Linked DNA regions of Saccharomyces cerevisiae S288C. The gene in region 2 interacts genetically with the main gene of each other region. Each region holds a gene or a part of one and is shown on either strand. Other genes may lie near its edges.

Region 1 (3,470 bases), on a different chromosome or scaffold from region 2:
CTTAGGTGAAGCTTTGAGAAGAATTAATGAAGGCGCCGCTATGATTCGTACCAAGGGTGAAGCTGGAACGGGCGATGTCTCTGAAGCCGTCAAGCATATAAGGAGAATTACAGAGGAGATAAAGGCGTGCCAACAATTGAAGAGCGAAGATGACATTGCAAAAGTTGCTGAGGAAATGAGGGTACCAGTTTCTTTGCTGAAAGATGTTTTAGAAAAAGGTAAGTTGCCAGTAGTAAATTTTGCTGCAGGTGGTGTAGCAACGCCAGCCGATGCCGCATTGTTAATGCAGTTGGGTTGTGATGGTGTGTTTGTTGGCTCAGGAATTTTTAAATCATCTAATCCTGTAAGGTTGGCCACTGCAGTAGTAGAGGCTACCACTCACTTTGACAATCCCAGCAAATTGTTGGAAGTATCTAGTGACTTAGGAGAGTTAATGGGTGGTGTATCAATCGAATCTATTAGTCATGCTTCCAATGGAGTAAGACTTTCCGAAATTGGGTGGTGATTTCTTTGAACAGGTATTTTGAGCATTATAACACTTTTTCCCCCCTCAACTTTGTATTACTCGGTACACATTGTAAAATGATCTAATTATTAGATAAGCTTATGTATGCTGGATATTATTTACTAGAATACTTGATTGGGGTTCCCTTTTAGTTTGTTAGACAATCCCTCATACGAAAGATCTCCTAACTTTTCCAATTGATCATTTACATAGTTTTTATAAGAAAACTCGTCATTATTCAACAGTACCTCAGGGTCAAATATGATACCCTTTCCATGCAACCTCCATTTGTTAGTCCACTCGATAGCCGTTGATTTTTCATTTTGGCTTTTATTCACTTGAAGCCTTCTTAAAACATCATATATATCATTTGTGGGAGAATTGGTGCTTCCAGGGTAAAGCTCTGTTCTTCCATCGTTCAAATTTTGCAAGTTCATTAGGTATAAAAGGTAATCCGCTTGAAATATTGGATCTACAAGGTTATTTTTAACACTACCACACAACGCCAGTCCTAGCATTCTATTATGATCTGAAACGCGACCGGGAACACCGATTCCTGGAGTATCTATCAAGTATATTTCATTTCTTGATTCCGTATTCCGTGAAGTTACTCTAATAACCTCGCTTGTGGCTCTAGTAACACCAGCTTCTGCACCAGTTTTGGCTACTTTCTTAAATTTTCTTCCCATATTCACTTGATTGTGAAAAATTGTCCTCAAGCTATTTATTAAAGTAGATTTTCCAACATTTGGCATGCCAGTAATCAATGCTCGGTATCCCATAGGTAGATATCCGCCATTTGTTTCTAGTTCGTAATTTTGCCATTCTAGTATTTTTAGTAGATTCCTGACGTCAGTTTTGTTTCGGCAATCCAGTAAAATAAACTTTTCTCCCAGCTCTTCATGCCAATTCTTTAACTTTCCTATATATGGCTTATTGCCGGGCATAAGATCCTTTCTAGTGTATACCACTAATTTCATCACATCGTGTTCCTTTCTTGCTATTCGATCGAAAACCACATTCCTTGTAGATAACGGGGCACGTATATCACGTAGTTCTATTATCATATTCATTTGAGGAAGCAACTTTTCAAATGTTTTAAGAGCTTTGACTTGGTGTCCCTTGAAATCAGTGAGAGGCATACTGTACTTTGGAAATTCATATCTTGGTGTGAAGGATGAAACGTTGGAAATTATTTTCCTAGTTCCTCTCACATTTATGTGCATTTCTGTATTTGATTTGGCTTTTTTGCATTCAGGTCTGAGTAATGAGCATTATCATTCGTTCTTTCTTCTCCTAATAACTAAACCAAATTGTTTCGAAAAGACAAAAATTGTGTACTTTTGACATGATGGTCCGTGTTCTTTGATCTGCGGCAAAATGAACCTACCATGTGGCAGAATTAAATATTTGATTCAAATATAAATAAGGCGAACGACGAGAGATTAAGATATTATATACAGGTAATACTATTGATTGTTTGTTCCACGGACTAGGAATTCTTCCAATGTGGAATTCTCCATTCCAGCGGTTTTTAATAACGCTTTAATGGAGTTGCATAACTCCGGAGTTACGTTAACATTTAAACGTCTGATCCATAGCAAATGACCATTATTTACGATTTTCGATATAACGTGACTATCACCGCTTTGATTGATAACATTTATAAATTCATTCCAGGGCCTTTTGTCCTGACCTTCCCCTTCCGTTGGTGTGATAGCTTCCCAGACTTGAAGTAGCTTATTCCAGTCTTTGATTTTGGCCAAGTTTTGCAATATTGAGACAATCATGCCTGAAGTCAACTTATCTCCAAATGTTTGGAAAATGTGGTCTATTGTCTCGTAGAGTGATCTCAATTTTACCCGTTCATCCGCGACCATGGAATTTAAAAGAAGGGATATTACCACTTCATCGTAAACAACTGAGCCATCGTCCTCTGTTTGTAGACCTTTAAATAGGTTCAAAGCTCTGATAATCACCCTATTTTGCTTTACTAGGTTAAAGTATGAATGACTAGAATGCTGCGTTTTCAAAACCATTTCTAAAAGAGCGATTAGATCTTCCCTTATTAACTCTTGCCCCAACGATTTTTTTAAAAGTAGATAATCCTTGAGGAAAACACGATCTGAATAAAATTGTGGGTCTGCTTTGTTTAGAAGTATCGCATATTCTAGTCGTAGTGGCCAATATGCAGCCGATTGATTTATGGTTAAAAAAGTTGAATGTTCGTCAAATAAGGACTTCCATTGAACAACATCTACTTTCCTCTCTTGTCCTACCAAATCCTTTAAAGTATTTTTAACATGCTCCAAAGTACGTATATTGTGAGTTTCAGTACCACTACTACTCTGAATTATCTTATTGGCTCCTTTGAAGTCTTCCTTTTGTAGAAAGTATCTTAAATTACTTAGCCCGTTTGGGTTGATAGTTGAATACCTTCTCCTTTGCTGGGCCAGTCTTCTTAGGCCTAAAAGAATATTATTGTTGCTTGAAATTTCATTTACCCCTGAAATAGTAGGGACATTACCTGAATCTATATTTTGGAACTTAGATTTCTCATTTTCAGGTGCATACAGCTCTTCTAAATTCAATTCATTACGCCTTCTCTGTGTCAAAATATTTACAAAAATACCATCGACACGACAATCAATCATATACCAAGCCTCACTATTTAAGTCTTTTGCAGAGCATTCAGAGCTTCTACCTAATAGTTTACTAAGGTTGGATTTTCTTGCTAATCTTCTTTTTCTTCTACTTTCTTGTCGCTCATTAAAGTTTCCTTCAACGTATGCACTACTACAGAATTCGTGCTTCAAAAACTTGTTCAACTCTAAGAAACTTTTATGACAATGTTTGGTAGATCTTGCTGTACATATGACCATGAAGTCACCCAACTTATTAACGGCTGAAACAGAGTTTGGGCTTTTCTTCCGTAAATCGAAAACCAGGAAGTCATCCAGACCAA
Region 2 (3,759 bases):
ATAACGAAAGCTTGGCTGACAGTACGCCCACAAACCGCAGCAGCGGTTTATAATTAAATAGAATTCACTAGTTGATACATATGCATATGTTATTATCACTACTCCAGATTCATGAATTTTTTCAGATTTTCGTAACATAAATAGCTGATGGAAACTGCTGGACATACTTTTGCTAAAGTTGGTACTAGACCTTTAAATAGACCTTGATAACCTTCCCTTTCTAGCGTCTTTAACAAAACATCTTTAAAGCCGTTATACACATAAGGATGTGCATATGTTCCTTGGGCTTGTAGTCTTGTTCTTAAAAGATTGATTGGATAAACAACAGAAGCTCCTACAGTTCCACTGAATGCACCCATTGGAAGTACAACCAGGTTGCTTAGAGTGACCTGATCTTGTGGTAGGTTCAGGGTCTTTGCCTGTTTGGCAATATACCATTTTTTTAAGGCAGAAAAAGTCCCCAAATCTAATGCAGCATAGGGAAATATGCCCACTATACCGACTGTGACACCTCTGTAAAATAATCTGACCCCCCCCCTCTCGAAACATATCTTTTGCAGTCTGAAAGAGCAAATTATTCCCCTTCAACTTTGTGTCCAAAGGAGCGCACTGCACCCTGAATTTCAAAGTATCTATAGGATAAACGGAAAACTGAGCTGCCATACCAGCTAAACCACCAGCAATGTAAGTAGAGAACTTTGAAAGATCTTTTGTGTCGCGGCAGCCTTCTAATTTGGTCATTATTTTCTTGGTGACCTCGAAAGAACCAAACTTTATCGAACTTTCTGGAAAAACTTTGATGACGTTTAAACCGTTCCCAACATAAAAAGCCTTTATCCCGCCTTGCCTATATAAGCTTTTGACAGCCTTTGCTAATGGAGATGATATCTTGTTTATGTCAGCATTGGGGTTTTTAGCAAGGAGATCTGTTTTTGAATTTAACAAGATCGAGGATAGATCCGTTCTTGCGATGAGAAACACTTTCAGTCTATCAAATGGCGCGGTACAAGTCCTTGAAATAACACCTGAAATACCACCAGCAATAAAAAACCCGAACCCGCGAATGAAATCGTTTATGAGAGTAACATCTCCCTCTGAGGACAGATCGACATCTTCGTTGAATAGGTAAAAATAGGAATAAGCAGTATGAAGTCTCGAACCCTGCTTTCTCGGTACCAGCAGCAAAAAGTCTCTCCATTGATCATATGTAACGTATAAATCTGAGTCGGTGGTTTTCTTTGACCGATCATTATCAGTATTCTTTTTGTGGCTAGCCTGGCCTCGTAGCGCAATGTTGGCTTTTCTCTTTGGAAACGCCCATTCAAAAAACCTCGAGAATTTGTTCATCTTTTCATTTGAAAGTTCATGATTAAGTTCATTATTACATATGCTCTGGTTGTCGAGGTCTGACAAATACCTATTTATTTCGTTAATGCCAATCTTACCGTCATGATCTAAATCTATCCTCTGGAAGCCGTTCCAAATTTGAGATTCGGCATTGGAAGCATACTTCTTGAAATCGCTTAAATCAACTACAGAGTCCTTGTTAACATCCATTGCAGTAAACAGCATTTTGATTGCCTCATCATTTCCCTTGAGCGGATGGTCGTTCTTCTCAAAAGCACTTATCAGATTATCTAGAGTAACTTGACCATTTCCCTTAACATCAAGTTCCTTGAACAAACACGCATACCGTATATCTCGCTGCTTGTCCGTCTCGCAATTTTTCAGCAGCATTTAGACCGTCATTCGATTGAATTAAACGTTATTTGCCCCTTCAAATATTCAATATTTCCCATCGCTAATAAAAAAGCTGCATTTTTATTTATTACTTTTTAAATATCATATTTGACGATCGTGTAGGACCCCTATGATTTAACATATCAAGAATGAATGAAAAGAACGTCAGAAACACAAGGTTAATTGCCTGTTATAATCAGACGATTGTAATATAACCATAGAGTTAGTGGGTATTGGAAAGGCCGGTAAAGATAACAGGGATCTCTGAAAAATGCCCAAGTTGGAACAATTTGAAATAAAAAAATACTGGCAAATCTTCTCGGGTTTGAAACCAATAGAGAATAAGGTAAACCATGACCAGGTTTTACCAATTCTTTATAATTCCAAATTAGATTCATCGGTTCTAAACAAGATTTGGTTTTTAGCTGATATTGATGACGACGACAATTTAGACTTTGAGGAATTTGTAATTTGCATGAGATTAATATTTGATATGGTTAATAAAAACATTAGCTCTGTTCCAGATGAATTGCCTGATTGGTTGATTCCAGGGAGTAAGGTGAATCTAATCAAAGAAAGAAAGAAGCGCAAGCAAATAGAAAACGCAGACTTGCCTCCAAAGAAGGAAATCAAAGTAGATTGGTACATGTCTCCAGATGATTTGAATCAATATGAAAAAATTTATAATAGCTGTGCAAAACTAACCGATGGTACTATTACATTCAACGAACTGTCAACAAAACTTTCCACAAAATTTTTTAACATCAGTAAGACAGATTTAAATAAGGTTTGGAGTTTAATTAACCCACAAAATTTGCCATCAATTGATAGAGATCCTACTTTTTATTTTATTCACTGTTTAAGACAAAGAAATGATTTGGGTGCTGAAATTCCAGCAAGTTTACCAAATTCTCTGGCGGAGGTGTGCAATAAAAAACAACTGAGCTATGATTTACGGTCCTCTCAACCTCCTACAAAGAGAAAAGAAGAAGCTAACGAAGTGGACAATCTGCGTGACAATGGGCAGAACTCGAGTTCCGATAGCAGTGGCAGTAACGTGCTTTCAAATGAAGACAGTATAAAGCAAAAATATGCTTCTCTGACAGATGATCAAGTTGCGAACATGAGAGAACAATTAGAAGGCCTTTTGAACTACAAAAAGAGTGAAAAAACTCAAGGAGGCTCAAAACTTTCTAAGCGGATTAACATCAGGTCGATAACTGATGACTTGGATAACATTGAACAGCAGGTTGAAGTATTGGAGAATTACTTGAACAATAAGAGACACGAATTGCAAGCATTACAAGCAGAAATCAATTGACACCGATAATTAATTTTATGTACATGAATGTGTAATATTTACTGTTTGTTATTTCACTTGTAAACTTTTTTGATTTGAACTTCAATCTATCCAGTAACGGTGTGGTGTATACTTATTTTTTCCTTTTCTTCTCTGCCGGAATTTCATAAAATTTTTACTGTTCAGCGTTCTTTACATATTTATATAATAGAATATGTCATATAAAGAAACAGTGACTTAGTTTCTGTTTTACTTTTTTTCTCCTATTTCTACCGTGATTTTGATTAGTTTTTTCTTTAATTGTTGCTATTCACTGTGCTTGTGTTAAATCTTGATGATGGTACTTGAACCCTCTGAATAATGATAATATACCTCTTTACAGTAACTATCTTTCTTTATTGGGTGCTTTTTAAATAGTTCCACTATTTCCATCATACTCATTCTCACGCTTCAGCTAGATAGAGCTGTTGTAGTAAACTCAACTGCTTTAGTGAATAATTTAAACACGTTTTCATCGATTAATTTCGCAGCATTTAGCTCCTGCATGACTTTTGAAATTTCAAGAAGAAATCTATGGGATTCGACAAACTGTTCATCAAGATTTGGTGTGGATTTGTAAGTGTTGAATTCAGTAGCAACTAAAGACAATGCATCATTCTTGGCATTACCATTGTGAAGATATTTTTGTAAGAAAAACTCCCACATCATAGCCATTATAG
Region 3 (3,364 bases), on a different chromosome or scaffold from region 2:
AAGTCATCTTTAAGGCAGATGAAAAGCAAAGTCAAGGAGCTTCAATCTTTAGTGAATCATTACCGAGAAAATGAAGCCGCTTTAGTGTCTAGCGCCAAGTTATTGTCCGGCGAGATCATAGGCTATGAAATTAAGATGGCTAGTTTACATGGAAAAATGAAAAGTATCCTGGATGAGAACAACGCGTTAAAGGAAACGCACAAGAGCTCTGCTGAAAAGAGAATCGAACTTGTTCGACTTCCCTCTAGCAAAGAAGAACGCAACTACGATGAATACACTTTGCTTGTTAATCTCAAGAAGGAAATCTGCGCCAAGTTACAGGACTACAAAAACGTCCAGAACACGGTGAACACCAAGTTAGATGAGATTCACACGTTCCATGAAAAATACTACGAAGGACTAGAACTAAGTTTAGACAGCAAGGTGTTTGATGCAGAAAGCTCAAAAGAGCTGGCCAAAGTGAGGCGAGAACTGAATAACGTGAGAAAAAATTCCGAAATCAAAGTGAATAACTTGAAAATGCAACTGCTACAAGCAACCAAATCACTGGAGCACTTGAAGAAGCAGGCTAAAGCAAAGGATGACTATCTTAAATGTATTCCTGAGCTGGTCGACAAAGCCAATCTCACGATGTTATCCTACAAGAAAAGCATCGCTAACCAGAGGGAGACTATCGAAGCATTACAAGCAGAACTATCGCAACAATCAGAAACAAAGGGGCAAATAGAAACAGAAACACAAAATCAAGTACAAATCCCCACCAATGTGACTTTGGTGGACCCCTTTGAGGAAAACAATCCAGAGGATTTGTTCGCTATCCAGGAACAGGAATTGCAAGATCTAAGGTTGCATAAGAAAATGGCCGATGAGAGGAGCCGAACTACCCACTTGCATTTAGAAAGAAAAAATAATACCATCAAGCTACTGCAGAGTTACGTGCAATCATTAATTCAACGGCTACCACCAGCCCAGCGCAAACACCATTTGGGCATATTCCAAAAACTTGGTAGCGAAAAATCGTGTCCACTCGCCCCCGCTGTGGCAAGTACATATGCGCCTCTTCTACTCTTATCCCAGCATTCGAACCATCAAGAAATTGACAACACCCCTCAACGGCTTCTATTAGCGGCTCCAGACGGGCAGTCATATTCCGAAAAGAGCACAACACTAAACCTTGATTACTCATCAAGGAAATCCTACTTATCAAGACTACAACCACCACATATAGCCAACCTGAAGTCTTTGACTCTGAAAACTCTGCCAAGGGTGCCCACGGACAGTCCTCAACTTCCTTCAAAAGACAAATCTCAAGAGACTGCAAAGAAAGACGATCGGCCAAAATTGGTGGCAAATGAACCAGTCACACTAGACACATCAACTCCTCCTGTGGCACAAAGCTTGGCGGATTCAAAGCATTGTTCAGGACTACATAAATAAATATAAATACGAAGCGGTAGAGATCACTACGGCATCCGCCTATCTGCAAAGGAAGCTCTATCGCAAACATACCACCGTTAATCTTCGCTGCCACAGTTTCCTTGTAGACCAATGGCATGTAGCACCGCCGCCACTGCCCGAAAAAAAAAGAAAATGAAAATTAAAGAACGATCGCAATTCTTGATAAAGCTCGAGAAAACAAAAACTCGTGAGTCACTGTGCATTTGCTGTCACATTTTCTACAAAGCGACGACATAGATATATAGAGGTGACTATATAAATCGTGTATCTCTTTTGATGGTTAATATTTAGCCTTTAGACATATATCAAACAAAGCATCTTCCAAAGTATTAGAAAAGGGAAATATGCCTCATACCGATAAGAAACAATCAGGATTAGCTCGTCTTTTGGGGTCCGCCTCTGCAGGCATAATGGAAATTGCCGTCTTCCATCCTGTGGACACCATTTCCAAAAGACTGATGTCCAACCACACCAAAATAACCTCTGGCCAGGAATTGAATCGTGTTATTTTTCGTGATCATTTCAGCGAACCTTTGGGCAAACGTTTGTTTACCTTGTTCCCGGGTCTCGGTTACGCTGCATCATACAAAGTTCTTCAAAGAGTGTATAAATATGGTGGTCAGCCTTTTGCTAACGAGTTTTTGAATAAGCACTACAAAAAGGATTTTGATAATCTTTTCGGTGAAAAGACTGGTAAGGCAATGAGATCCGCCGCTGCTGGATCTTTGATTGGTATTGGTGAAATTGTTCTTTTGCCGCTGGACGTGTTGAAGATTAAGAGACAGACCAATCCCGAATCGTTTAAAGGTAGAGGTTTCATCAAGATTTTGAGAGACGAAGGCCTGTTCAACTTATATAGGGGTTGGGGGTGGACGGCTGCCAGAAATGCTCCCGGTTCATTCGCCCTTTTTGGTGGTAATGCATTCGCCAAGGAGTATATCTTGGGTTTGAAAGATTATTCTCAAGCTACTTGGTCCCAAAACTTCATCTCCTCCATCGTCGGTGCTTGCTCCTCTCTGATCGTTTCTGCTCCATTAGATGTCATCAAGACAAGAATTCAAAATAGGAATTTTGATAATCCTGAAAGCGGGTTGAGAATCGTCAAAAACACTCTGAAAAATGAAGGTGTAACTGCGTTTTTCAAGGGCTTAACACCTAAATTACTAACAACGGGTCCAAAACTGGTTTTCTCATTTGCGTTAGCTCAATCTTTGATACCTAGATTCGATAACCTGTTGAGCAAATGAAGTACATGAACTTCTTGTCTATTTTCCTTGGCATTCAGCTTGTGAATATAAAATGTATAACAATATGAGTTTGTACTTTATGTATTATTTCCTGTTTTTTGACTAACTACTTTTTCCAATGTAATAGCTGTATCACCGTACCGAGGTAAGGACGTCAGCCGCGTAGTTCTAAAAAAATAAAGGATTGCTTTGAAGGGCTTCTGGGCCACTTCAGGACAAAAAGAATGAACATAAAGAAGAGCGCTAAATTTAATACTACAGAGGAACCTGTTACTATCTCAGCTTTTTCAAGAAAATGAAACCTCCGTTAAACATGTCACGTTCAAATAAACCACTTACTCAGGAAGCTAATAGTTCGGCGCATATTGATAGGGCACATCAGCTAGCACAGGATTTTAACAGTAAACAGGATGATACCGCACTAACTTCACTGCCCCACAAGAACCCCGACATATTCAGATTTGAGAACAACATCACAGCTCATAGCTCGCGTCGTGGTTCTCTATATAGAGACAGCGATGCTACTGTGGTTTTGCCGCTTTCTGAACATACCCCTAGATTATCAATGGATGATCCATACCGCCAATTACTACAACAGGCTGAAATCTCACAACTACGAAGTAAGAAAAAAAGGCATTCCAGTCGAGTTTTGCGTACTT

Evidence for each region.
Region 1: mutations in SAL1 (region 2) and MTG1 impair growth when combined (synthetic growth defect), as found in Saccharomyces cerevisiae (one study listed by BioGRID).
Region 3: mutations in SAL1 (region 2) and GGC1 are lethal when combined (synthetic lethality), as found in Saccharomyces cerevisiae (one study listed by BioGRID).

What each region holds. Positions count from the first base shown.
Region 1 is NC_001145.3:458,797-462,266, forward strand, and holds MTG1 (putative GTPase MTG1), read right to left. Parts: upstream 1,732-3,470; coding exon 628-1,731; downstream 1-627. Other genes in the region: pyridoxine biosynthesis protein SNZ1, read left to right, coding at 1-505; ATP25 (Atp25p), read right to left, coding at 1,975-3,470. UniProt on the Saccharomyces cerevisiae protein: Mitochondrial GTPase involved in assembly of the large ribosomal subunit. Plays a role in expression of the mitochondrial translational machinery.
Region 2 is NC_001146.8:469,355-473,113, reverse strand, and holds SAL1 (Ca(2+)-binding ATP:ADP antiporter SAL1), read right to left. Parts: upstream 1,738-3,759; coding exon 253-1,737; downstream 1-252. Other genes in the region: END3 (End3p), read left to right, coding at 2,012-3,061; MKT1 (Mkt1p), read right to left, coding at 3,491-3,759. UniProt on the Saccharomyces cerevisiae protein: Calcium-dependent mitochondrial solute carrier.
Region 3 is NC_001136.10:102,990-106,353, reverse strand, and holds GGC1 (Ggc1p), read left to right. Parts: upstream 1-1,802; coding exon 1,803-2,705; downstream 2,706-3,364. Other genes in the region: ASF2 (Asf2p), read left to right, coding at 1-1,437; YDL199C (uncharacterized protein), read left to right, coding at 3,001-3,364. UniProt on the Saccharomyces cerevisiae protein: Mitochondrial GTP/GDP transporter required for GTP uptake and GDP exit from mitochondria. Involved in mitochondrial iron transport and essential for mitochondrial genome maintenance.